Linked DNA regions of Sus scrofa. The protein of the gene in region 1 purifies or fractionates together with the protein of each later gene. This does not show direct contact. Links are inferred from orthologs where the notes say so. Each region holds a gene or a part of one and is shown in the gene's direction. Other genes may lie near its edges. The genes, in order: PRPF4B, PRPF8, SART1, USP39, PRPF6, PNN and RNPS1.

The links.
Region 2: the proteins of PRPF4B (region 1) and PRPF8 purify together in Homo sapiens (affinity purification with mass spectrometry; 4 studies listed by BioGRID and IntAct, with this or other methods). This does not show direct contact. The link is inferred for Sus scrofa from reciprocal best matches to the Homo sapiens genes PRP4K and PRPF8.
Region 3: the proteins of PRPF4B (region 1) and SART1 purify together in Homo sapiens (affinity purification with mass spectrometry; 3 studies listed by BioGRID and IntAct, with this or other methods). This does not show direct contact. The link is inferred for Sus scrofa from reciprocal best matches to the Homo sapiens genes PRP4K and SART1.
Region 4: the proteins of PRPF4B (region 1) and USP39 purify together in Homo sapiens (affinity purification with mass spectrometry; 3 studies listed by BioGRID and IntAct, with this or other methods). This does not show direct contact. The link is inferred for Sus scrofa from reciprocal best matches to the Homo sapiens genes PRP4K and USP39.
Region 5: the proteins of PRPF4B (region 1) and PRPF6 purify together in Homo sapiens (affinity purification with mass spectrometry; 3 studies listed by BioGRID and IntAct, with this or other methods). This does not show direct contact. The link is inferred for Sus scrofa from reciprocal best matches to the Homo sapiens genes PRP4K and PRPF6.
Region 6: the proteins of PRPF4B (region 1) and PNN purify together in Homo sapiens (affinity purification with mass spectrometry; 5 studies listed by BioGRID and IntAct, counting the BioPlex papers as one, with this or other methods). This does not show direct contact. The link is inferred for Sus scrofa from reciprocal best matches to the Homo sapiens genes PRP4K and PNN.
Region 7: the proteins of PRPF4B (region 1) and RNPS1 purify together in Homo sapiens (co-immunoprecipitation; 4 studies listed by BioGRID and IntAct, with this or other methods). This does not show direct contact. The link is inferred for Sus scrofa from reciprocal best matches to the Homo sapiens genes PRP4K and RNPS1.

Annotation. Positions count from the first base shown.
Region 1 is NC_010449.5:2,385,505-2,389,004, forward strand, and holds part of PRPF4B (serine/threonine-protein kinase PRP4 homolog), read left to right. Parts: intron 1-2,349; coding exon 2,350-3,500. UniProt on the Homo sapiens protein: Serine/threonine kinase involved in spliceosomal assembly as well as mitosis and signaling regulation. Connects chromatin mediated regulation of transcription and pre-mRNA splicing.
Region 2 is NC_010454.4:47,867,787-47,871,286, reverse strand, and holds part of PRPF8 (pre-mRNA-processing-splicing factor 8), read left to right. Parts: coding exon 1-148; intron 149-796; coding exon 797-932; intron 933-1,196; coding exon 1,197-1,366; intron 1,367-1,539; coding exon 1,540-1,669; intron 1,670-1,794; coding exon 1,795-1,941; intron 1,942-2,418; coding exon 2,419-2,579; intron 2,580-2,875; coding exon 2,876-3,067; intron 3,068-3,303; coding exon 3,304-3,500. UniProt on the Homo sapiens protein: Plays a role in pre-mRNA splicing as core component of precatalytic, catalytic and postcatalytic spliceosomal complexes, both of the predominant U2-type spliceosome and the minor U12-type spliceosome.
Region 3 is NC_010444.4:6,370,543-6,374,471, reverse strand, and holds the start of SART1 (U4/U6.U5 tri-snRNP-associated protein 1), read left to right. Parts: upstream 1-1,129; 5' UTR 1,130-1,226; coding exon 1,227-1,539; intron 1,540-3,598; coding exon 3,599-3,656; intron 3,657-3,929. UniProt on the Homo sapiens protein: Plays a role in mRNA splicing as a component of the U4/U6-U5 tri-snRNP, one of the building blocks of the spliceosome. May also bind to DNA.
Region 4 is NC_010445.4:59,153,798-59,157,753, reverse strand, and holds the start of USP39 (U4/U6.U5 tri-snRNP-associated protein 2), read left to right. Parts: upstream 1-1,156; 5' UTR 1,157-3,501; coding exon 3,502-3,769; intron 3,770-3,956. Other genes in the region: C3H2orf68 (UPF0561 protein C2orf68 homolog), read right to left, coding at 665-783, 867-973.
Region 5 is NC_010459.5:62,846,509-62,850,008, forward strand, and holds part of PRPF6 (pre-mRNA-processing factor 6), read left to right. Parts: intron 1-1,629; coding exon 1,630-1,751; intron 1,752-3,176; coding exon 3,177-3,315; intron 3,316-3,500. UniProt on the Homo sapiens protein: Involved in pre-mRNA splicing as component of the U4/U6-U5 tri-snRNP complex, one of the building blocks of the spliceosome.
Region 6 is NC_010443.5:169,724,385-169,728,448, forward strand, and holds the start of PNN (pinin), read left to right. Parts: upstream 1-1,264; 5' UTR 1,265-1,341; coding exon 1,342-1,454; intron 1,455-2,094; coding exon 2,095-2,166; intron 2,167-3,509; coding exon 3,510-3,578; intron 3,579-3,930; coding exon 3,931-4,003; intron 4,004-4,064. UniProt on the Homo sapiens protein: Transcriptional activator binding to the E-box 1 core sequence of the E-cadherin promoter gene; the core-binding sequence is 5'CAGGTG-3'. Capable of reversing CTBP1-mediated transcription repression.
Region 7 is NC_010445.4:39,745,558-39,749,057, forward strand, and holds part of RNPS1 (RNA-binding protein with serine-rich domain 1), read left to right. Parts: intron 1-2,578; coding exon 2,579-2,720; intron 2,721-3,198; coding exon 3,199-3,298; 3' UTR 3,299-3,500. UniProt on the Homo sapiens protein: Part of pre- and post-splicing multiprotein mRNP complexes. Auxiliary component of the splicing-dependent multiprotein exon junction complex (EJC) deposited at splice junction on mRNAs.

The DNA of each region.
Region 1 (3,500 bases):
ATTTAACTTGTCAGAGAAACAGCTTCACTATTTTTCTTGTAAAAAGAAATGGCATTCATTTTGTTCACCATTGCTCCCATCTCCAAAGCATGAATCAAATGCCTCCTGAATAAGATGTTATTAGGAATGTTCTTTGAAAAAAATACTTGAAAGAGGAAATTAAAGTAACATTAGCAGCTGGCGGTTGGTCACTCTATTTTAAAGTTGGCGCATGGCTGCTTACATCTCGCCGTATGCCCCACGACGACCTAGGTTGTTGGAAGGGTGAGACTTGTACGTTCCATTTAACCAAATACTTGATTAAATAGCCTCAAACACTCGCGCACTGTCTGCATTTTGAATGCAGCTTCGTTTCCCAGTGAGATTTGAAGGATGTTGCTCAGGTCTCAGTGAGCCCTGTCCCAGCCCAGCTCGGGCCAGACACAGCCTTGGCAACGTGCAGGGTTCGACTGCAAAGTGTAAAGGTTAAAGCGTAAACGAGTCTGTGCGGGATTTATATACGTGTTTATTGTTAACATGAACCATCCAAGAAGCCTATTAGATTCCTTAACAAGCAACCTTTTCCTCAAGCTTTAGAAGAAAACTCTTGCTAATGAACCTGACGAGCACACACTCGTTCACTGTCTGTGACATGTCATGGGTGTCATCGACTCATTGAGTTCAAGTTTCCTGGTTGACCTAGTCAGACTTCAGTGGTTATTGACTTTGAAATTTGCCTTGAGAGATCAGCGCAAGAGGCTGAAGGTCTGCTCTTGGCCTGGCACGAGGCGGGCAGAGCTCTGGGGCCGACCGAGCTGGCTCTAAGGTGCTAGTAGCGTCCTGTCGGTAACCCGCTCGTTGTTTCTTGCGTTAACATTCATTAAGTTGCGGTGGAAACAGGTCTCTCGGAGTGACCCTTCAGGGGCTTGGGCATCGTGATGTAGATCCTGATTCTAGAAGCTTTAGGAGCTCAGTCTTCTTTTAAAAGACATTACTTCTCTGTTGGTAAATGCTTAAGAATTTCGATTTGAAGCTACTTGGAAGATTTGTAAATTATAGGAAGCATTAGAAAAGGGTTAAGAGAGCAGATGTTTGTGGGGGAGGTGATTAAGTTTCAGCGATCTGGGGTATTGCAGTCAAGAAGTAGGCGTGTGCACCGGGGAAATAACTGAGCAAAAGCAGAATGTTTACCGTCAAGAGCAGAGAGTTGAGAAGAGTTGGCATAAGCCAGTGGTAGCCAGTGATACCATTTGTGTGTTAGTCTATCTGTCCAGGTCGTTTCTTTGACCCAGCAAATGCTTCTTGAGCGCCTTCTCTGGGTTAGCTGATCTTCTAGGCCTCGGGGATAGAGCAGTGAGCGGAACAGATCAAAATACTGCTCTCGTGGGGCTTATATGTTATCATCAGGAGAGACAACGACATCCTATGAGGTGGTGGCAATTTGGAGAAGAATGAAGCAGAGAGAGTGAGTGTATGTAGTGGGGGGTTGCGGTTCAAAAGACTTGGTCTGGAAAACTTGGCCGGTTTGAGAAAGTGTGACGTGAGTGCAGACCAGAGGGAGGCAGAGGAGGCAGCAGCATGTACTTGGGGAGAGCTCTCCGGGCACGGGGACCGCAGGGACAGCCCCGGGCCCGGGGTGGGGGTGGGGGGGTCTTATTGGCCTGGGGCAGCGGGGCTGGGGTGTTACTCCGAATGCGGGAGATGGGCGTCAGGTCTCACTCCCAGGGTGATATGACCTGACGGTTCACAAGCACCTTTGAGCAAGTGCAGGAGCTCTGACGTTGAATCAATACCAGTCTTCTGACCAGCATGATATGCCTGTGACCTTAGGCGAGTGCCACAAACCTCCTTGAACGTGAAGTGTCATCTGCCGTGGGGACATATGGAGAGCCAGTACTTCTCGAGCACTTTGTGTGACAGCAGTGTCATCACACACAGCCCGTCCCGCAGCCCAGCGTTGCAGTTCCTGGGCTCTGCCTGTCTCGGCCGTGTCCTCCCAGAATCCCATACATCTGTGTGGGAGGTGCTGGTGTAACAACCGAGTTCCTGAGTGACTGTTTCACCGAGTCAGTATTAATGACAGTTTGCTGTAGCCTGGCTTGGATTCCCTTTTTCTGTTAAGTATAACGGTTAACCTCCCCAATTATGTATTTCCTCTACTACGTTTGGTATTTGAGTTCAACCATTAGAAACAAATTACGGTTGAATCACTCTTCAGCTCCGTTCTTGCCACATACTTTTGAAATAAAACATTTCAGCGACTAACTTCATGTATTACATTGAGATGTATTTTATCATTACTGTTATTTTTTATGATTCTGAATGCGTGATAAATTATGTGACTTTTACATGTGTTTGATGCATTTATAGGATGGAAGATGCTGATAATTCGGAAAAGAGTGTAAATGAAGAAAATGGAGAAGTGTCAGAAGACCAGTCTCAGAACAAGCACAGTCGTCACAAGAAAAAGAAACATAAACACAGAAGTAAACATAAGAAACATAAACATTCTTCAGAAGAAGACAAGGATAAAAAGCATAAGCACAAGCATAAGCATAAGAAACACAAAAGAAAAGAGGTGATTGATGCGTCTGACAAAGAAGGTATGTCTCCAGCCAAAAGAACTAAACTCGATGACTTAGCTTTGCTGGAAGACTTGGAGAAACAGAGAGCCTTGATTAAAGCCGAACTTGACAATGAGTTAATGGAAGGAAAGGTCCAGTCTGGGATGGGGCTCATCTTGCAGGGTTACGAGTCTGGCTCTGAAGAAGAGGGGGAGATTCATGACAAAGCAAGAAATGGGAATAGGCCTAGTACCAGGTCTTCGAGCACCAAGGGGAAACTTGAACTTGTGGACAATAAAAATAGCGCAAAAAAGCGAAGCAAAAGCAGATCCAAAGAACGGACTAGACATAGGTCTGAGAAAAAGAAGAGTAAGGGCGGTGTCGAGATAGTCAAAGAGAAGACGAGGAGCAAGTCGAAGGAGAGGAAAAAGTCCAGAAGCCCCTCCAAAAGGAGCAAGTCCCAAGACCAAGCGAGAAAGTCGAAGTCTCCCGCCCTCCGAAGGCGCTCTCAAGAGAAGATTGGCAAGGCCAGATCTCCCCCCGACGACAAGGTCAAGATCGAAGACAAAAGTAAGCCAAAAGATAGGAAAAAGTCCCCAGTTACAAATGAGAGTAGAAGTCGGGATCGAGGCAAAAAATCTCGATCCCCAGTTGACGCGCGAGGTAAATCCAAAGACAGAAGGTCACGGTCCAAAGAGAGAAAACCACAGCGGTCTGAAACTGATAGAGAGAAGAAACCAGTTAAATCTCCCTCTAAAGATGCCTCTTCTGGGAAGGAAAACAGGTCGCCCAGTAGGAGACCTGGTCGGAGTCCTAAGAGAAGAAGTCTGTCTCCGAAACAGCGCGATAAATCACGAAGAAGCAGGTCTCCGCTCGTAAACGACAGAAGGTCTAAGCAGAGCAAGTCGCCGTCTCGAACTCTGTCCCCTGGTAGGAGAGCCAAGAGCCGCTCCTTGG
Region 2 (3,500 bases), on another chromosome or scaffold:
ACTTTCGTTCAGGAATGAGCCATGAAGAAGACCAGTTGATTCCCAACTTGTATCGCTACATACAGCCATGGGAGAGTGAGTTCATTGATTCTCAGCGGGTCTGGGCTGAGTATGCACTCAAGAGACAAGAGGCCATTGCTCAGAACAGGTGGGCATCCAGGAGGGCATAGCAGTCCTGTTTGGGGAGGGTGACTGTTGAGCCCCGTGTGGAGGTCAGAGAATGTCTCTCTCTCTTTTTTTTTTTTTTTTTTTTGGTCTTTCTAGGGCCTCACCTGCAGCATATGGAGTTTCCTAGGCTAGGGGTCGAATTGGAGTTGTAGCTGCTGGTCTACACCACAGCTCATGGCAACAACCGATCCTTTACCCACTGAGCAGGCAGGGATCGAACCCACATCCTCATGGATACTAGTCAGATTTGTTTCCTCTGAGACACGACAGGAACTCCATCCAGCATGTCATATTTTTCTGGAGTCAAGGAAGTAGGTTTTAGGGAGTCCCCACTGTAGTGCAGTGGGTTGATGATCCAGTGTTGTCTCTGTGGTGGCACGGGTTTGATCCCTGGCCCAGTGCAGTGGGTTAAGGATCTGGTATTGCCGCAGCTGTGGTGTAGGTTGCACCTGCAACTCAGATGTGTTCACTGGCCTGGAAACTTCCATATGCTGTGCGTGTGTTCGAAAAAGAAAAACAAACCAAAAAAATTGGAAGTAGGTCCTGTGTGTGACCCTCTTTATCCTTGGCGAGGGAGAAATGCTAAACTCTTCATACAAGCATACGTTTGGTCTTTTCTCCTTGGCAGACGACTGACCTTAGAAGATCTAGAAGATTCATGGGATCGTGGTATTCCTCGAATCAACACCCTCTTCCAGAAGGACCGGCACACGCTGGCTTATGATAAGGGCTGGCGTGTTCGTACTGACTTTAAGCAGTACCAGGTACGTGAAGGGGATGATGGAGAGAGTTTCCCTGAACTAGAATCGGTGGCCGTGAGGTATAGGTCACAGGTGTGGCTTGGATCTGGTGTGGCTGCGGCTGTGGGGTTGGTCAGCAGCTGCAGCTCCAATTCAGTGCCTACCCAGGGAATTTCCGTATGGTGCAAGTGCAGCCCTAAAAAGAAAGAAAAAAAGAATCTGTGGCCATGCCAGGAACCTAGGGCAGTGAGCACCCAGAAGCTTGACCGTACCTGCCTTGCCATGTAGGTTTTGAAGCAGAACCCTTTTTGGTGGACACACCAGCGGCATGACGGGAAGCTCTGGAACCTGAACAACTACCGTACAGACATGATCCAGGCCCTGGGTGGTGTGGAGGGCATCCTGGAACACACTCTCTTCAAGGGCACGTACTTCCCTACCTGGGAAGGGCTTTTCTGGTAAGGAGTCTGTTGTCCCCTTAGAGCGACCTCTCCTATGTCACACCCCTCTGAGCTCAATGCCTTCTGTGCCTTTGGTTTCTGCTGTGGTGTTTCCCAGTCAGCCAGCCCGGGAGGAGGGCAGTGTTCTGGGGGGTGGCAGGACGTGACTACCTTGTTGTTCTGCTTTCCAGGGAGAAGGCCAGTGGTTTCGAGGAGTCTATGAAGTGGAAGAAGCTAACCAACGCTCAGCGATCTGGATTGAACCAGATTCCCAATCGTAGATTCACCCTCTGGTGGTCCCCCACCATCAACCGAGCCAATGTGAGTGTGGTGTGGTCAGTAGACATGGGAGATGGGCAGCTGGAAACAAGAATTTCTTCTTCCTTGGTTATGTCCTGAGACCCACAGTCCCTTGGCCTCTAGTGTCACTCTGGTTTTCCTGTCAGGTGTACGTAGGCTTTCAGGTGCAGCTGGACCTGACGGGCATCTTCATGCATGGCAAGATCCCCACCCTGAAGATCTCCCTCATCCAGATCTTCCGAGCTCACTTGTGGCAGAAGATCCACGAGAGCATCGTTATGGACTTGTGTCAGGTAGGCTGGAATTGAGGGTGGAGGATGCCACAAAAACTCAAGTCAGGAGTTCCCGTCGTGGCGCAGTGGTTAACGAATCCGACTAGGAACCATGAGGTTGTGGGTTCGGTCCCTGCCCTTGCTCCGTGGGTTAATGATCCGGTGTTGCCGTGAGCTGTGGTGTAGGTTGCAGACGCGGCTCGGATCCCGCGTTGCTGTGGCTCTGGCATAGGCTGGTGGCTACAGCTCCGATTCAACCCCTAGCCTGGGAACCTCCATATGCCGCGGGAGCGGCCCAAGAAATAGCAACAACAACAATAACAACAAAAAGACAAAAAAAAAAAAAAAAACTCAAGTCAGCTTTCGCTTTGGAGTATGGGGAATGCACCCTTGAAGCTCCAAGGATGAAACTTCTCTTGTGGTACCAGGGGTCACATTATCTTAGCTTCTGTAAGTGGGCTTCCATAAACGTTGTAACCTTTCCACCTTGGCCTCCAGGTGTTTGATCAGGAACTGGATGCACTGGAAATCGAGACGGTACAGAAGGAGACAATCCACCCCCGAAAGTCCTATAAGATGAACTCTTCCTGTGCAGATATCCTGCTCTTTGCCTCCTACAAGTGGAATGTCTCCCGGCCCTCGTTGTTGGCAGACTCCAAGTAAGTGCCCTTTGACCCAGCCGCAGGCATCCAAGAACCTTAGTTTTACTGTTCTCCTAGCGTACTTGAGGAATTGTCCCTGGCTGTCTAACTTGGAGCCAGTGCTGCCCCTGGATCTTGCCATCATCCTCAGCCACGTCTGCTGATTCTCTCATGGGTCTTATTGATCTGGAACAGGCAGAGGGGTAGGTTTTGAGATGCAGATGTAGTGATTGAGAGTTCTCGCGGTTCTGGGGACATTGGCTGTGCTTGTGTCTGCCTGGAAGCCTACGCTTCTGACCCCTCTCCGCCCTCAGGGATGTGATGGACAGCACCACCACTCAGAAGTATTGGATTGACATCCAGTTGCGCTGGGGGGACTATGATTCTCATGACATTGAGCGCTACGCCCGGGCCAAGTTCTTAGACTACACCACAGACAATATGAGTATCTACCCTTCACCCACGGGCGTGCTCATTGCCATTGACCTGGCCTATAACCTGCACAGGTAAGTTGGGGCTGAGGAGCATGTATCCGTCAGCCTCATACTTTAATACATACACATGTTTTAAGTTTGTCCAGGTGAGATGAGATTTGGCTCTTTTCTCCTCTAGGTCACTGACTGCGTGTAATGAGCAGTCAGCCTGGCCAGCAGTCTTTTCTTTCACTATAGAGTCGCGATTTGCCTTGTTCCTGGGACTGCTGGCCTGGTCTTAACATTTCTTGCCTTGTCCACCCTCACAGTGCCTATGGAAACTGGTTCCCTGGCAGCAAGCCTCTCATCCAGCAGGCCATGGCCAAAATCATGAAGGCAAACCCTGCCTTGTATGTGTTACGGGAACGGATCCGTAAGGGGTTGCAGCTCTATTCTTCTGAGCCCACTGAGCCCTATCTCTCCTCTCAGAACTATGGTGAACTCTTCTCCAACCAGATTATCTGGT
Region 3 (3,929 bases), on another chromosome or scaffold:
CTGAGGTGTGAGCATGGCATCTCCAAGAGCAACAGCGGCAACTTGCCCTAGAAATGCTGGGTCCTAGAAAGTCAAGAGTGAATAGGACAGAATGGCTTCTGCCTTTGGGAACTCCCAGTTCTGGGGGGGAGGAAAGCGGAACTTTAAAGGGGAGCATAATCACAGACAGATGGGCCTCCAGATGGGGCAACTGGGAGGTGAGGGGTGTCAGGAGGGATGGAGAGATTGTGTGAACAGAGTTTTTGTTGTTGTTGTTTATTTGGCTGTGCCTGTGGCATGCGAGAGTTCCTGGGTCAGGAATTGAACCCAAGCCACAGGAGTGACCCAAGTCGCTCCAGTGACAGTCCCGGATCTTTAGATCTTTAACTCGCTGCGCCATAGGAGAATTCCTGTGTAAACTGAGATTTTAGCTTCAAGCAACTTCAAGTTAGAGCTCCTCTCAAGAGGGAAAAAAAAAAAGCAGCAGCAGCTCCCGCGAGCGCGCTCTCTCTCTCTCTCTCTCACACACACACACACACACACACACACACACACACACACACACACACACCCCGATGTGCTAAATTTTGCGTTCGATTTCAGGGGTTCACAGGCATGCAAAGGCCCATCTCGAGCTCCGTAGCAGTCAAAGCGCACGTTAAAAAAACCCAATTCAGGGACCGTGGGAAGGCAGCGTTTGCAGACAATATTAGTTGTGGGGGCTGGGAGGAGGCTGGGTTGTGGAGCTGAGGGTCTCAGGAGCAGAACGTGCTCCGTCCTCCTACACCTGATCGGCCACGACCCCAGGGAGTCTACTAGGAGGACTTCTGCTGGAGCGGCGGGCGCTGCAGTGAGCATCCCGTGGCTGAGGGTGTGCAAGCGGAGGGAAGCCAGGGAGGCCATGCTGGCTTAGATGGGCCCTAGGTCCTTCAAATTCTGGGATACGGTCTTCCCCGGACTCGAACGCGCCCCTCAAGCTTGAGCGCACGCGCAATCCGACCACTATGTCAAAGACCGCCGCTCGGCCAGTGCCGGCCGCGAATGCGCAGTCGGGCCCGATCCCAGCCTTCCCATGAGCCTTTGGGGCAGCTCCGAGGCAAAGGACGGAAGCAGCCGCTCTTGGTTTCCGGCAACGCGACGGCGCAGCCGGGCCCGACCCGGAAGTGTTCCCATTTTGCGCCGTCGGGGCTCGGCGGCGGCGGTGGCGGCGGCGGCGGCGGCGGCGGGGCTCGGGTGGACCTACCACCATGGGGTCGTCAAAGAAGCACCGCGGGGAGAAGGAGGCGGCCGGGACTACGGCAGGAGCGAGCACCGGGAGCGCCACCGAGCAGCCGCCTCGGCACCGGGAGCACAAAAAACACAAGCACCGGAGCAGCGGCGGCGGCAGCAGCGGTGGCGAACGACGAAAGCGGAGCCGGGAGCGTGGGAGCGAGCGCGGGAGCGGGCGGCGCGGGGCCGAAGCGGAGGCCCGCAGCAGCACGCACGGGCGGGAGCGTAGCCAGACAGAGCCCTCCGAGCGCCGCGTGAAGCGGGAGAAGCGAGATGAAGGCTACGAGGCCGGTGAGGGGCGGGGCCTGGGCAGGGGGCGGGGCGATGGGGAGGGTCTCAGGGTGGAGGGCCTCGGGGATGGAAGCCAAGCCCACAGGCCCAGCCATCCCCAGGCCCGTCGTCAGCGCATTTGGAAGGGTCTTGTTTTGATTATTTGGGATTAAGGGTTGGCTTTCTCTGCTAAACTCCGTGAAGGTGGAGATTTTCTCTGTTTTCCTTAACTGACACATCACAGGCACTCGCTAAATGTGTCGAGTGAACGCATGGAGTGGTACCATCGTGTGTAGAGGCAGGAGGACACCTGGTATTGGGCAGGTTATGTAGAGCTCATAGCAGAGACATGAGGCAGGGGTCCGAACACAGAGGCTCCTGCAAGCCTGTTAAGATAATTGAATTTTGTTGGCGTTCCCGTCCTGGCGCAGCGGAAACGAATCCGACTAGGAACCATGAGGTTGTGGGTTCGACCCCTGGCCTGGCTCAGTGGGTTAAGGATCCTGCACTGTCTTGAGCTGTGGTGTAGGTCACAGGTGCAACTCGGATCTGGCGTGGCTGTGGCGGTGGTGTAGGCCGGCAGCTGTAGCTCCAATTCGACCCTTAGCCTGGGAACCTCCATATGCCAGGGTGTGGCCCTGAGAAAACAAAAAACAAAAAATTTTGAACTTTGTTTCAAAAGTAATAGGGAGCCATGAATTCGAGCTGGGGAGCGAGTTAGTCGTATTCACGTTATCACAGAGAACACTGTGTTGAGAACTGGGTAAAGAGCAGTCAAGACCCATAGAGGAGGTAAGGACTGGCCATGGCTGGCACCAGGGCAGCAGCAGCGGGATGGAGAGTCGTTGACCCATTGGAGAGGTGTTTTGGAGGAGGAGGTGACAGAGCTTAAGCACTTGGATGACAGTGGGAAGGAGAAGAAGGAATTGAGGATGGTCCTTGGATTTTGGCTGGTGTGACCAGGTGGGTGGTAGTGTTGTCGACGGAAGTTGAGTTTGGAAGAGAAGCAGATTTTTTGGAGAGAGACAGTGAATTCAGTTTTGAGGAGTGTTGCATGAGGCACATGGGGAAACTCAGGGCTTGGGCAGGACAGAGCAGTTTGAGAGTCATAAGGGTTCAATGGCAAATGAAGTCCCTTGAGAGAGTGAGGATTGAGAAGCCAGGGTCGGGGGCAGAACCTCAGGAATGTCTACGTTTTAGTAGCAGGCGGAGCAAGATGGTACAAAAAAGGAGGTTGGATGTTCCCCAAAGCAAGAATACCATAGCATCTCATGTCATGGGATCTGTGGGCGTGATCAGTGGTGTCACACACCACAGGAGATGAGGCAAAACCAGAGTGGCAGAGAATCCATCGGATTTACAGACAAGGAGGCTGGCGACCTTGGAGCGAGCACGGAGGTGCTTGGGAGTCAGGGTCCAGGTGGGGTGGGAGGGAAAGACGTAGGTTGCGAGGTGGCCATGCTGGAGGGAGGAGCTCCAGCCGATGGCGTCCAGCTTCTGTGTGTGGCATTCTGTGTGTGACATTTGCTGTTTATGAGGTGGGTGAAAGAGCTCAGAAGCGCTGCTTTATTTCCTGTAGCATCCTCACAGCACAGGCGCCAGTAAGTGTATTTTTTGACTGTGTGAATTACACAGAGAGAACACAGATATGCTGCCAACATGGGCCCTGCCCTGTGAGCAAAAACAGACCTGGAGATGGCCGTGACCGTGCTGTGGAGTGCAGGGGAGAGGAGTTGGTGCTGATCAGGAATCAGGACTCCGGCCTCTGATTGTTGCGTTTGGATAGCATCTTGCTAATCAGAGTGAGGCCAGAGAGGGCCGTGTAGGTTGTAACAACAGAATACACAGAGGTGGAGAGGTGGCAGAGTGAAGGATGTGGCAGGTTGGACCTTTTGGATCAGAAGGTGTGTCGACAGCCTGGGAGTCAGGTAGGAGGAGCCCCTGGGATGGAGGAAGGCTGCTGTTCCCTGATGTCTCGGGGCAGATGGGGGACCCTCACCTTCAGCCCTGCGGCTGGAGCCAAGGAAGTGGCTTCTGGGCCCCGTGTTCAGCTCCTGAGCCTCTCTCTCTCTTGTTCCAGCTGCCAGCTCCAAGACTAGCTCGGGCGATGCCTCGTCACTCAGCATCGAGGAGACCAAGTGAGTACTGTCACCTTTATGCTACTGTGTCTTCTTCTGAGACGGGCAGCTTTGGGGGCAGCAGGTGGGTGAAGCTTTCTCATCGTAGAGCCTTCTGCTTGGGATTTGGAAGTGCCATAGAAACCATCTTAGCCAACGATTTGCATTACAGAAGTGGACACTCAGACCCAAGAGGAAGGATGGCATTTTCCTGGGTAGGGGCAGGCCAGGCCTTCCGCCTAATGCAGAGGCCAGTGCTCTTCTGAGCGCTGGGTCAGGCCCTCGGTTTGGGAC
Region 4 (3,956 bases), on another chromosome or scaffold:
ACAGTATTGGAGAATAGTAGAGAAGTGGATAGGGATCTGTCTGGGTTCAGGCCAGGCTCTACCATTTACTTCTCAGAGATCTCAGGCAAGTTACTCAATCTCTTTGTTTGTACCTGTTTTCCTGACTGTGAAACCCGTGAAAATTCCCATTTTATGAGATCCTCTTGAAACTAAACGAATTGATGTACCTAACACCTAAAAACACTTTAAGGATGGCTCGACAAATTTAGCGGTGTAGGTTTAACTCTCTCTAGAGGGCAGAGAAACTGGGGGTGGGAAGCTAGGGGGAAGGTCATTAACTGGGTTTGGGCTTCATGTCACAGGTATGTCCTGGTCGTCTAGAACAGTGCCAAACCTTTTTTTTTCTGTTAGATGGTGGGAATATGAGAATTCAGTATAGTGGGGGCAAACCAGCAGACAACTTCCTGCCGCTTCCCAGGTATGTCCAGTAATAGTGTTGCTTAACTAGTCTTGAGGGTCCCTGTTCTGCCGGGAGAACCACTGAGAGGCAGCTGGAGAGCGTCGAGGCGGAAGTTCCGGGAAGGGACGAGATGAACTGAGCCTTGGGGGTTAAGGAGTGTGTTTCTTTTTTTCGTTGTTTGTTTTTTGCCATATAGAAAGGAAGAGTGCGTTCAGGCAGAGGGCTAGAGGCAGGCGGCCTCACCTCGGTGTCGCGGCAGATACACCTGCAGGTCCGGCTTGCGGGGCCGAGTGGGCGCGGGCGTGTGCCGCCTCCTCACCTTCTCCTTGGCCGCCTGCTTTACCTTCTTGTCGTAGTCGTCCCTGCGGGGAGCCGAGCGGGAGTCAGGGACGGCCGGGCCAGGCCAGGCCAGGGGTGGCGCCGGTGGCGCGGGGCGGGGAGGTACCGGGCGAGCTGGTTCCGTCGAATGTGGTGGACGAAGCCGTGGCTCATGTCCAGCCGCCCGCCCGGCTTGTAGCAGAGGCCGGGTCCGGGCCCCGGCGCCGATTCCATCTGGAGCTCTGTGCGCGGAGCTGCGCCGCCTCCGCCTCAACGGCTCCAACGGCAGCCCTCCAGCAGGCAGAACTCCGCGCCACCCGTCGCTCGACTTCCGGCTCCGCACCCTGACGTCGGCGGGGAACCGGCCGACCGGGCCGAGCGTCACCACGCGCGGAGTTCCAGGCGTGAGCTGGGCTGGTGGAGTGGTGCTGGGAATGGGACGTGCGCGACTTCCATTCCCCCGGCGGGGCCTTGCCTTTTTTGTGACGTTATCAATAAGAAAGCAGGATTTAGGCTTACTGCTGATGCACCAGAAAATTCAGAAAAATACAAAGCACCCATCACAGCACTCCGTGATTTGTGTGGAGCCTTCTCGTCTTTTTTTCCCGTGATGAGATGCTGCGAAAACTCCATCATCAGCTGCGTGATCGTCTCATCTTACTCGTGATCTGCGAGGTCGTGAGGAGGCCAGTGCCCGGAAGGGCAAACTGCGGCGCCCCCGTTGCTCAGCCCACCCCCCTGCCCGCACCGGGCCCCTCGGCCCCTTCGCCACCGGTGGCGGGGATGCCCCCTTCCAGCCCACCCAGCGCCCACTGGTCTGACGTCTTAACTCTCTCCGTGAGAGGATCTAGAGCTTTTCAGGGGTCTGAGCCTGTGTCATTTTTGAATCCTCTTTAAAAAGAGACAAAAGATTAGAACAGGGATGGATTGATACATCCACACGATGGAATATCGCTGAGCAGTCAAAAATAACGAGCTGTTACACATTCAACAGCGTGGATGAATCTCAAAATAAATATGCGAGTGAACGAGGCCAGGGGTAAAAAGACTGGTTCTGTGTTTCCATTTAGATAAACTCTAGAAAGTGCACTGATCTGGAGCTCCCTTGTGGCTCAGTGGGTTAAGGATCTGGCATTGTTACCACAGCTGCTCTGGTCGCTAATGTGTAGGGGGTTCCATTTATGGCCTGGGAACTTCCATATGCCAGAGCTGGCCAACAACAAGGACAAAAACAAAAACAGAAAGTGAGTGCACTGAAAGCACGTCAATGGTGGGGGCAGAACACTTGGTGGCTGGTGGTTAAGTTCATTATCTCTTTGGTTTTGGACTGTATATGTACCTCCATTGATATTCAAGCAGACTAACTTATGTATTTATTTTTTTTCTGCTGCACCTGCAGCATATGGAAGTTCCATATGCACGTCAAATTGGAGCTGCAGCTGCCAGCCCATGCAACATCCACACCGATCCTCCACACATCATCTGTGACCTACAACTCAGCTTGGGACAACGCTGTATCCTTAACCCACTGAGGGAGGCCAGGGATCAAGTCTGCATCCTCACGGACAGTGTCGGGTTCTTAGCCTGCTAAACCACACCCGGAATTCCAAATTGCACACTCGTTTCATTTGTCTTTTTTATTTTATTTTATTTTTTATTTATTTATTTTTTTCCATTTCTTGGGCCGATCCTGCTGCATATGGAGGTTCCCACTAGGGGTCGAATTGGAGCTGCAGCTGCCGGCCTACGCCAGAGCCACAGCAACGCGGGATCCAAGCTGCATCTGCGGCCCACACCACAGCTCACGGCAACACCGGATCCTTAACCCACTGAACAAGGCCAGGGATCGAACCCACAACCTCATGGTTCCTGGTCGTATTCGTTAACCACTGAGCCCGGACGGGAACCCCTTGTCTTTTTAGGGCTGCACACGCAGTACATGGAGGCTCCCAGGATAGGGGTCAAATGGGAGCTGTAGCCGTCGGCCTTCACCACAGCCACAGCAACGAGGGATCCGAGCAGTGTCTGCGACCTACACCACAGCTCAGGGCAACGCCGGATCCTTAACCCGCTAAGCAAAGCCAGGGATCGAACCCCCGTCCTCATGGATGCTAGTCGGGTTCGTTAACCGCTGAGCCACACGGGAACTTCCCAAATTACACATTTCAAACGTGCAATTTATTGAAGGTCAGTCACAACTCAGTAGAACTATATAAACAAAGTAGTTCGTGGTCGCGGAAGGGGTCGTGGAAGTCTCAGGCCTTGAAGCTTGAGCTTTATCAGCGTCACTTGTCTCCCTCATCTCATCGTCGTTTGCATTTTCCTGTGATACCAAAAACAATCCTCTAAATGTGGAATTAGAGCCTCGGGGTCGCTCCACTGTATCCTGGTTCGGTGTCAGTCTCTGAGACACGGAAACTGGAGACGACCTTCCAATTCTGGTTGCAGGGCACAAAGTATCTTGAAGAAGCCTGGGGCCCAATGACAGCTTCCGGAAATTCCGCAGCTAGTAAAAAGTTCTTGTCTTTTTTAGAGAAATCATGGGTAAAGTGGCCGTAGCTCTCCGGCCCCCGGCCCCCGTCTGTCTCTGGGAGGGCCACAGCACCCCCCAAACTCACAAGAGGCGCAGTACTTCTTTGCGGCGTAATTTGTCCCTATCGGCGAGTCGTAGAGTCTGTAAACAGCGCCGTTTCTGATTGGCTGCTTGCCCCGCGCTCCGTCTCGCTCGGAGTCTGCGCCGGGCAACTGGGCCGGTAGTGGCGATGTCCGGCCGGTCCAAACGGGAGTCTCGTGGTTCGACCCGCGGGAAGCGCGAGTCCGAGTCGCGGAGCAGCTCGGCTCGCGTCAAGCGGGAGCGAGATCGGGAGCGGGAAACCGAGGCGCCGAGCTCCCGGAGCAGCCCGGTGCGCGTGAAGCGGGAGGTTGAGCCGGCGAGCGCGCGCGAGGCCCCGGCTCCAGTAATCCCAGCCGTGAGAGTGAAGCGGGAGCGCGATGTCGACGAGGACTCGGAGCCTGAGCGGGAGGTGCGAGGTGCGCGGGGCCGGGCGCGGGCTCCACTCTGGCGTTCTTCTTTTTCTCTTTACAATCTTCCTTCCCCACAAAGCGGTCACATTACACATGCCACCTGACTCGACTGCGTTTTAATAAGGGTAGTACTAGTCTTAATAATAAAAGTAGTTATAGTATTTCCAACAACAGTGAACAGCAGCTTTAGTTT
Region 5 (3,500 bases), on another chromosome or scaffold:
GTGCCTCCACCACACTGAGTGTGCCCGAATTCCTGCCCTCGTGATTTAAGCCTTTTCGTTACGGGACATTTTAGACAGAAAAGTGTAAGAAAGACCTAAGATGCTCCCAGCCTCTCCAGTGAGAGGGGGAAGGGCCCCCACTCCCAGTCATTGAGGCCCCCCCCCGTCCTTTTTATCTTTTAGGGCCGCACTCTCGGCCTATAGCAGTCAAATCAGAGCTAGGGGTCAAATCAGAGCTGCAGCTGCTGGCCTACACCACAGCCAGAACAATGCTGGCTCCCCAGCCCCCTGAGCAGGGCCAGGGATTGAACTCGCATCTTCACGGATACTAGTCGGACTCGTTTCCACTGCTCCACAATGGGAACTCTTTGAGCCCTTCTGATCCTACCTTCCTCGTCACTGTTGACAGCACTGGGGGCCACGGCAGGCGCTACCCCACAGGGATGGGCTGTGGGTACAGAACTCTGAAGCCCTTTGAAACTCTGGTTTCTGTGTCTCTTCACTTAGCCTGGAGCAGGCACCACTCTCTTCTGTGCTTGTATTTCTGCAGGAAGAACCGAGGCCCTTTTGTGCTTAGAAACGTGGAGTTCTTCCAGAGCTCCCCCTGGGGGTGGGCCCGGCCCACACACCCACACCCTGGACCCTGGGCAGCGGTCACTTAATCCCATGGGGCCACATAGGCCCCAGGGCCTTTTTGTAACTGCCCTCCAGGGCCTTTGTCGGAAGTCACAGGGGGAACCGGGGGCTCGTGGGCGGCTGAGGTGGGGTCCTGCCTGCTTCCGGAGCCCCTGGTCAGGACGCACCTGCACTGGGTTCCCGGCCTCTGGTGGTTGAGTCAGGGACCCGGGTCTGAAGGAGGAGACCTCCCTTTTTCCCCGCTTCCTGCCTGTTTCCAGCTGGATGTCCTTGCAATCAGGAGGCTTGCTAACGGCCCAGCCAGGCTGCCAGGTGGCCCTGGGTGGCTCGGAGCCCTCCTGCAGGACACCTGCTCTTGGTCCAGGCTGTGTGGGTGTTCACACGTGCAGAGCCTCGTTCTGCTGCTTCTGGCGGCTTCTTATTCGCCTGGAGCTGTGCCGCCTCCTGTGCAGGAGCGCTGGCAGCACCTGCCAGCGTGAGGTCTGTGCCAGGCATGGTCTCGGCCCTGCGTGAGGCTCAGTAAGGACAGCTGCCAGCCTTTTCCTGTGATTGTCCAGGGGTCCTGACCCCCAGGGGGCACTGCTGCAGGCAGCAACTGGCTTTCTTGTGTCGCCTTGATGCGCACCGAGGCTGACATCACGCGAGGCCGGAGAAGAGGCCTAGAGGCCCGGGAGTGTTTGTGGCAGGTCTGTTGGGATGGGTGGGCTTTTGGTTTCCCTTAGTGTTTTACACATTTCCAGTGAGCGTAACTTTTTAAATGGAGAACACGTACGACACTTATTTTTTAATGGGAGCCAGCCTGTGGGGCAGCCGGTGCCCCTGCGGCCAGCAGGCAGCCTCGTCGCAGCCCCTCCTGCTTGCGTTTTGCTGTTGGTGCCCCCGTCCTGCTGGGCTTTCCCTCTGGAGACCTTCCCACTGCACGGTTTCTGGCGGGTGCCCTGCTCCCGGGTCGGGGGCGGGCCCCTCACGCCCTCCTCTCTCTGCCGTACGTAGTGTGTGGCCCACAACGCCCTGGAGTGCGCCCGAGCCATCTACGCCTACGCGCTGCAGGTCTTCCCCAGCAAGAAGAGCGTGTGGCTGCGAGCTGCCTACTTTGAGAAGAACCACGGCACCAGGTACGCCTGCTGCCCTGAGCGTCCCCCGAGACGCCAGGGTGCCGGGTGCGGGGTTTAGGCCCCACCTTCCCACGGGTGGGCGAGGGCCCGATTCGAGGGCCAGCCATCTGGCGAGGGGCAGAAGCTCCTGTGGCATTTGGAACACTGCAGCCGGGGCTATCTTGATGGCACCTTCTGCGACAGCGTTGCTGTTCTTTCACAGTTGAGCAGCCGGGGCACTAAAGGCTCCTCCCAAGTGCCGGCAGCTGAGCCAGGGACGCCTGGTGGTCTGAGGGTCCCGGGGGCGAGGCTGGAGCCTCAGGCCCCACGTTTGTGCCAGCGCTGGCTTCGGCAGTGTGGGCGGTGCGGCATTGAGGCCCAGGCGTGTTTTTCATTTAAGCCGTGCTAGATTGGGCTTGCGCTGCTTTTTGTGCTCTGAGGAGGTCCTTGACAATTTTCTTCAGTTGTATTCTTTAATTGAAAACACCTTTTGGGTCTGCCTCGTTGGCTGTAACTGCTGATTGAATTAGATGTTGCAACATCTGGAGTTAGCGGGCAGCCTCTGCCGGGCCCTCTGCGGCCGTCCCAGTGCCCGGGCCTTGCTGATCCCACCCGGGTTTAGCTGGGAGTTCTGAGCCCATTTCTTTGTGACGTTGCTCAGGCTTGGTCTTGAGCGTGTCTTTGCAGACCCGCTGCCGAAGCCCCGTTCCCTCCCCCACCACCAGCTGCTGTGTGTCTTGGGGTTAACTCCTTTGGGGACCTTTTGAGATGACCTTGCTGCTTCACCCTGCACAGGTTCCAGTCTGCAGCAGGGCCCCTCCTGGGGGATGTGGCCTCAGGACCGTCCCCTCCCCCATCTCTGGCGCCCTTGGCGTCTTGCCCGCTCAGAGGCTGACCAGTCGGGACCTGGGGCCTTGGCTCTGGTGTCAGCCTGCACTCTGTCTTGCTGCTGAGGCCCCAGGAGGTCGTCTGTGCCAGGGCTGGGGAGCCACCTGAGGCTGGGGGCTTCCCCCCGAACCCCCGGCTGGAGGGCTTCTTGCTCAGTAGTGACCTAAGATAACTTCCTTCCAGAAGACAGTTTCTCTGATGCCAAAGAGTAGACTCGGGTCGTAATCTTTATTGGCCGATCTGCGGTTAGAGATGAAAAGGCCCGTCGCCCAGGCCGCGGAGTTATCATGCTCCCAGACTCGCGGCTGTGAAAGACTCTCTTGAGAAGCCCTCCGCCAGGCTCGGACTGAACAATGCGCTGCTTTGTGGCGCCCTCTTCAGTAGTTGAGCTTAGAGCCTTTGTGGAGAGAGGCGATTTCCCCACACTCTCCCCGTCGTAAAGATCTAGTGAATCATTTACAGCGCCGGACTTTGAAGCAGTAACTGTCTCTTCAGTGCCCGCAGCCCGCTGCAGGCGGCCTGCGTGCCCTGCTGGTGACCGAGCCCTCTGTCTCGCAGGGAGTCCCTGGAGGCCCTGCTGCAGAGGGCGGTGGCCCACTGCCCCAAAGCGGAGGTGCTGTGGCTCATGGGTGCCAAGTCCAAGTGGCTTGCGGGGGACGTGCCTGCAGCAAGGAGCATCCTGGCTCTGGCCTTCCAGGTGGGTGAGGGGTGCCTCGAGGGGCTGGCCGAGGCCCCAGGGCGCCGGTGTCCCGGGCCCTCTGCAAAGCCCTTCCCCTGCCCGTGGACAGGAGCTGACCCCGGAGGGGCTGTGTGTGGTCAGGGAGCTCTGCAGGCAGATGGGGCCCAGGCGACGGACACCTTCCTCCCATTTGCTGCCACTCA
Region 6 (4,064 bases), on another chromosome or scaffold:
CTGCTTCGTGCAAGGATGCACTGGCTGATGGATAAAGGATGAGAACACAAAGATTATTCATAACATTGCTTCCGTAGGAAAATGCTTTCTTCCTTTTTTTTTTTTTTTTTTTTTTTTTTTTTTTTTTTTTTTTTTTGCCTTTTCTAGGGCCGCTCCTGCGGCATCTGGAGGTTCCCAGGCTAGGGGTTTAATCGGAGCTGTAGCCACCGGCCTACACCAGAGCCACAGCAACGCGGGATCTGAGCCGGGTCTGCAACCTACACCACAGCTCCCGGCAATGCCAGATCCTTAACCCATTGAGCAAGGGCAGGGATCGAACCCGCAACCTCATGGTTCCTAGTCAGATTCATTAACCACTGCGCCACCACGGGAACTCCCGAAAATGCTTTCTGAGATGCAGTTTTCAAATATATTTCTGGAACAAAACCGGTTCTCAGGTCAGCAATAGGGGTAAAGCAGAACCAGAAGGTGGAGGACACAAACAATAGGGCTACTCTCCCGGACCCTGTCTTAAACCAACGAGCATTAGGCCGGGTGTAGAAGCTAATGCCTGCCTCGCCATCGCTTTTTTCTTGTAGTACATCCTTGCCCAGGGTCTGATCATAGGAAGACCCCAGGCCGGCATGACCTAGGGACAATTACAGTATCTCCAGACTCAACTTCCGTATCAGTAATAACAGAGATTTTATTTAAGCTTTTGGTTTGTGGGGGACAAGGCACATAAAGTGTTTCACGGTGTAGAGAACAAAGTAAATGTTATCTATTACGATTAATAATCTTTCCGTCTTCATTCTTTGCTTTGCGGTGCTCTTTACGGTTTAACCTCATTAAGGGAGCCGACCCGCCCACCCCCTCTCTGGGCATGCGCACCAACAGAATGGCCGCACCCTGTCCTTAGAAAATCATTTACCGGGGAAGATGGGAAAATAGACTCGCTTCCGCTCTACTCTAATGCGATTAGGTGGTAAAATGAAAAAAGGCACGTCATATACGGGTTAAAAGGGCTAGAAAGCTCCGCTCTCCTGGCCAAACGAGCACGGCCGCAAGCGCACGTCTCGGAGGACCTAGGGACTCTCAAACCCGCCCCGACTCTGCGCTAGAAGCGGAGCCCAGCCACCCGCGGCTAACTGGAGAGGGAGACAACCGCCTGGTCGACTTTTCATTGGCCCGGAGTCTCAAGGGCCGGCAGCTTCTCCCCCTTCCGGTTGCTGAATGGTTAAGGCCGAAATACAACTCCTATTGTCATTGGCTGAGGCCAGCTGTCAGTCCTCTCGCGTTTCGCGGCGCGACACAGCCAGGCGCGGCCTGTAGAGCAGTCTCGAAGCCTGCCGCAGGGAGAAGATGGCGGTCGCAGTGAGAACTTTGCAGGAGCAGCTAGAAAAGGCCAAAGAGAGCCTAAAGAACGTAGATGAGAATATTCGCAAGCTCACCGGGCGGGATCCGAATGACGTGAGGTAAAGGGCGGATAGGAAATTGCCGTCTCCGAAATGCAGTCGTGAAGCCGGGGTGAATTGGGGGCGGGGAGAGCGGTCAGCCCTGAGAAGGCTGGAACATCGAGGCCTGTTCCCGGGGCAGCAGTAGAATCCCGTCCTCCGTGAGGTGGGAGTTTCCGAGACCGCCACCCTAAGTCCTGGGGCTCAGGTGTGAGGAGCGAGAGCGGGGCCGGGGTGCGTCGGAATGGTTTCCTGTCCTGAGGGAAGGCCGGGACTGCCGATTCCCGCCCTCGGCCCTGTAGGCCCGGAACTGCAGCACAAAGCCTTTCTCCTCCTGGGGCCGCCTGACTCGGCACTGGTCCGGAGACCCTCCCGGGACGCTGTCCCCCGCTTCATGCAACTTCCTCTGGGGTGGCGAAATTCGGGCCTGACCCCAGCTTGTTAATGTGTACTGGCAGCGAGGTAAATACAATTTCGGTGGTACTGATCTTGGAAAAACAAGGAAGTTAATGCAGTACTTCCTGTCCTGTTTGAAACACGTGGATTTGAAACCGTCAGATTAGAACGTTCCTGGTTATTTTCTTTTGATGATGAACCTCATCCTTAAGGTGTTTGGTGCTGTTAGATACGATTTTTGTACTGATTTGTAAATATTTTGTAGGCCCATCCAAGCCAGATTGCTGGCCCTGTCTGGTCCTGGTGGAGGTAGAGGACGTGGTAGTTTATTGCTGAGGTAAGATTTCCTTAGGATTTAATTCACATGTTAAGACTGTTGGTACTTACTATACTAACTAAATTAAGGCATCGGTTTAAACAAATTTTGTGGTAGAGTCAACGTTAGAGATATTTCCGTAGTTTGAAGATGTGATGAGCTGTATGTAGTTTTCTGTATAGTTATCCAGGAACTTTACACTCCAAACTAGAGATTGAAGTGACTGTACCAGTTATGTGCAAACAATTTATTCCCATAGGTTTTTGTTTTTTTTTTTTTGTTTTTTGTTTTTTTTTTTTTCTTTTCAGGTCCATACCCATGGCATATGGAGGTTCCCAGGCTAGGGGTCCAATTGGAGCCACAGCTGCCAGCCTACACCACAGCCACATCAGATCCAAGCTGCACCTGCGACCCACACCACAGCTCACAGCAACGTCAGGTCCCCAACCCACTGAACGAGGCCAGGGATCGAACCCGCAACCTATTGATTCCCAGTCAGACTCGCAGCCGCAGTGCCACAACAGGAACTCCTATTCCCATAGTTGTAAAAGAAGCGCTATAAAAGCATTTGGGGATAAATGACCATTTAAGATTACTTTATTTATTTATTTATTTTTAAGCAAGCAAAGTTTTTTGGGTTTTTGTTTTTGTTTTTTTTTGGTCTTTTTGCCATTTCTTGGGCCGCTGCTGAGGCATATAGAGGTACCCAGGCTAGGGGTCTAATCAGAGCTATAGCCACTGGCCTACACCAGAGCCATAGCAACGTGGGATCCAAGCCGAGTCTGTGACCTACACCACAGCTTACTGCAACGCTGGATCCTTAACCCACTGAGCAAGGCCAGGGATCAAACCTGCAACCTCATGGTTCCTAGTCAGATTCGTTAACCACTTCACCACAATGGGAACTCCAGCAGAGTCTTTATTAAAGGAAAGTAAATAGCAGTTCCTGTCGTAGCACAGCAAAAACGAATCTGACTAGAAACCATGAGGTTGAAGGTTCCATCTCTGGCCTTGCTCAGTGGGTTAAGGAACCATGAGCTGTGGTATGGGTCGCAGATACAGCTCAGATCTGATGTTGCTGTGGCTGTGGCTTAGGCCAGCAGCTGTAGCTCCCATTCAGCCCCTAGCCTGGGAACCTCCATATGCTCTAGGTGCAGCCCAAAAAGCAAAACAAATAAAAAAAATAAAGCAAACAGCTCCCAGGGTTGTTGGGAAGGGGGAGAAGAGCCCCTAAGGTTACTTTAATTAGGAGGGTTTTTGTTTTTGTTTTTTTTAATTTGTAACTAAATTCTGTTCCCTAAATGGAAATACTCTCTCATATAAATACATTTACGTGTTTATAATGTTGGACATTTATATTGCAGGCGTGGATTCTCAGATAGTGGAGGAGGACCCCCAGCCAAACAGAGAGACCTTGAAGGGGCAGTCAGTAGGTATGTTGAATGAAAAGATTCTGAAAGCAAACTTGTATGTTTCACTTTCTGAGGTAGCATAAATATTTATTAAATATTGTTGTGTAAGGGCTCTATTAGAATTGAGTAGTATACCCTTTCCCGAGTCTGTTCCCTTGGTATCTGATGGAACTGAGACAGCCAATATCACTTAAAACTCAACTTTTCACTAACAATAACAGCAGTTTTAACAAAGGTCATGAGAAGAATAAGATTGGGAAAATACTCAATTTGTACTATTTTTCTGTCTTTTACTACAAAAACTTAACCATCTTGAGAGGTAAAAGAGATCAAAGTTTTTATTGCTCCTTCTAAATTCTCTTTCCTTTGTCAGGCTGGGCGGGGAGCGTCGGACTCGGAGAGAATCACGCCAAGAAAGCGACCCAGAGGATGACGATGTTAAGAGGGTAATTGAGATTAAAAGAACTTCATAGAGGATGAATATAGCCTTTTCACCTTACTACATTT
Region 7 (3,500 bases), on another chromosome or scaffold:
GTTTTTATGTGGGAATCTTTTCTTTTTTGCCTCCATTCCTCCAGTGTGTAGAAGTTCCTGGGGTGGGGATCAAACCTGTGCCACAGCAGCAACCAAGCTGCTACAGCGACAATACCAGGACCTTAACCCACTGCACCACAGGGGAACTCCAGGAATGTTTTCTCACCCTCCCCACCCTTTTTTGGCTTTTTAGGGTCACACCCAGGGCATGTGGGGGTTCCCAGGCTAGTGGTCAAATCAGAGCTACAGCTGCTGGCCTACACCACAGCCACTGCATCTCAGGATCCTTAACTAACTAGTAAAGCCAGGGGTCAAATCTGTGTCCTCAGGAATACTAGTCAGATTCATTTCCACTGAGCCATAATGGGAACTCCCCCCCCCCAATCCTCTTTGACTCAATTTCTGTTTTGCTAACATTTCAGCATTTTTAGAATAATTTTGCTGAATTCGCATATTTTACCCATTTCCCAAGATCTTGTGTCTTAATTATTTATGACATTTAAAGCCACTTTGTATTGGGACAGTAATTTAATGACATTTGAACACTTGTGCCTCATTTCAGATTGCCCATTTTCATTTTGTCTTCAAGTTGGCGTTTTAAGGAATGTGGGATTTGTCTCTGCCCAGCTCGCTGCTGCTGTAACCCAGGCCATTGGAGCTGACGGCCCGGGATTGCCCGCAGTGCCATGTGGGCTGCCAGGCCAAGGGACAGGAGAGTCTAAATCCCTCAGAGGCTGTTAGACACTTGATAGGTAGCCTGGCAGTTTTTTGGGTGATTGCCCTTGGGCTCTGGTAGAGTTTGTATACCACAAACTTAGGTGCTCCCTCTTTTGATCTGCTTAAGTCTCGCTAGAGTGTGCTGGGCATTGAGCCTGAGCTGCGGTCCATCCCTCTGTGCCTCGGCTCCTGACCTTGTGAGTCACACCTGTTTTAGAGATTCAGTCTGTGTTTGACTGAGTCAGAGCTCTCGCTTCAGGAGACCTGGACACGTTCAGGATGTGTGTGATTATGAACATTCCGTATTGTCTTCAGCTCTGGCAGGGTTTTTCGTGTCCTCATATTGTGCTGTGCACCACTGAACAGAATGGCTGCATGCTGTCTCCAGAAAGAAAGTGGAAGGGCTTGGCCTTCACTGGCACCTACCTGGCCAGGGGATGGCTTTGTCTCTGCTGTTGCATAGTCAGCACCTGTGAGATCCCTGATTTGGACAGGCTTTTGGCCAGGGGCCAGGAGCTGCCAGAGGCTGCGTTTAAGTATCCTGAACATCGGTCCAGGCTCCTGCGTTCTCTCCTTAGTACCTCAGAAGTTGAAAGTAGGCCTGAGAGGATAGAAAGAGCTCTCCACCCTTCGGGGGCATAAGGGGCTGTGCTTGTCCCATGCATGAGCAGTTCCTGGACTGAGTTGTGGAGTGTGAGGTCAGGGTGCAGGCTCCCATGGGATTCTGGGGCCTCTGCTGGTTTCCTTTGCTCGTTCTCTCCCTGAGGCCCTGCAGGGTTCCTTGGGCCTCCATTCAGAGCTGCCTCCCTTACTGTTCTTTTTGTTCATGCATGTGGTTTAGTCCTGGCTGTACACAGACTCATCTCCCTGAGGCACTGTTTCCAGAGAGTGTGTGTGCGTGTGCGCGCGCGCCGCACCCCTGACATATGGAAGTTCCCAGGCTAGGGGTCGAACTAGAGCTGTAGCTGCCGACCTACACCACAGCCACAGCAACAAGGGATCCAAGCCACATCTTCGACCTTCACCACATCTCAATGCCCTGCCGTATCCTTAACCCACTGGGTGAGGCCAGGGATCGAACCCTTGTCCTCATGGATACTAGTCAGTTTCGTTAGCACTGAGCCACAAGGGAATTCCTATTTCCAGACTCTTGATAAACGTTGACATCTCCTGAACCTGCCCTCCCAGGAAGTCCCTTCCTCTCAGGCCCACCCCTCAGGAGATCATAGGTCATCCAGAAACCTAGTGGTGATCATCTTTCACCCAAGTTCTGGAAATTGTACATCCCAGTTAACCCTCAGGTTTCCACATTTCACCCCCAGCACTCCTGCCCAAGCCCCCTGATAGGTCTCCCCACTCCTTGCCTGCCCCCTTCCCATTGCTCTTTAGAAGGAAATTGAGGAGTTTCCGCCATGGCTCAGCAAAACCAAATCTGACTAGCATCCATGAGGATGCAGGTTTGATCCCTGGCCTCTCTCAGTGGGTTAAGGATCCAGTGTGGCTGTGGCTGTGGTGTAGGCCGGCAGCTATAGCCCCGATTCGACCCCTAGCCTGGGAACCTTCACATGCCATGGGTGCGGCCCTAGAAAAGACCGAAAAAAAGCAAGTTGAGTTTCTAACTCTCCCTTGGCATGTTCCGCCCTCTCCCTTGGCATGTTCCAGCTTGCGCATCTCTAGGTGTGACTTGGATAGCGCTCCCCAGGAAGCACGCAGTGCATCAACAGAGTCCCTCCTTGTTTTCTTGATGAAACCGTTTGCCCTCGTCCCCCCACTTCTGTCCTTCTTGCTCACATTTGGCATTGAGCCTTGCCCAGGGTAGGTGCTTGTTAGATATTTTGTGGTTTTATCTTTTCTTTAACAGGACAAATCGATGGCCAGGAGATCACTGCCACTGCCGTGCTGGCCCCCTGGCCTAGGCCACCCCCCAGGCGATTCAGCCCTCCCAGGAGAATGCTGCCACCACCTCCTATGTGGCGCAGGTCACCCCCACGGATGAGGAGAAGGTAAGTCGCTGTTGTCTCTGAGGACTGACGAGGGTCAGTTTTGGTTTATTTCTTTAATACGGAGGGCAGTGGTTTGGGGACCTCCGTGGGGAACGCAGCATCTGTGGCTCCCGGGGTCCATCGTGTTCTTTCCAGCTGAGAAAAGGAAGAGCAGCTGCCTGATAGAGGAACTGGGGCTGGGGGTGACCCTCCCCCTGCTCCGTGAGAAAACCGGAAGGAACAGAGGAGCAGCGGAGAGGCCCGCGTTCAGCCTACCTCTCTAGGAAGCCTGCCGCTTGTGCCTTTGGTCTCCAGAACCTTCCTTTCTCTCCTAGGGGTGCTGTCAGTGTCACCCGGAGGGAGCTGTCCTGACTTGGTGCTGGACTATGAAATTGTATAGAGTTGCTCTGAGCGGGGCTGCGTTCCCTGCCATCCTAAATTCAGAGCTGCTCCTTGGCCTGTGTGCTTGTGGCTGATGTGGTTTCTCCTTTTCCCACAGGTCGCGGTCCCCCAGGCGCAGGTCCCCTGTGCGCCGACGATCCCGCTCCCCTGGCCGCCGCCGCCACAGGAGCCGCTCCAGCTCCAACTCCTCCCGATAAGCGGAGCCACGGAAGCTCTGCCCCTGAGACTTATGTCCCATCCAGCTCACTTTCATCAGTTGTCTAGCCAAAGGGGGATGGGTAGGAACGAAGGCTCTCACTCAGGGGCAGGCTTGGGGATGTGCCTGGAAAGATGGTTTTCTGGCTAGAAAGATCCCACGTTTCTAGTTCCTGGGAGTCAGTTTAGTGGCAGAGCCAGCAG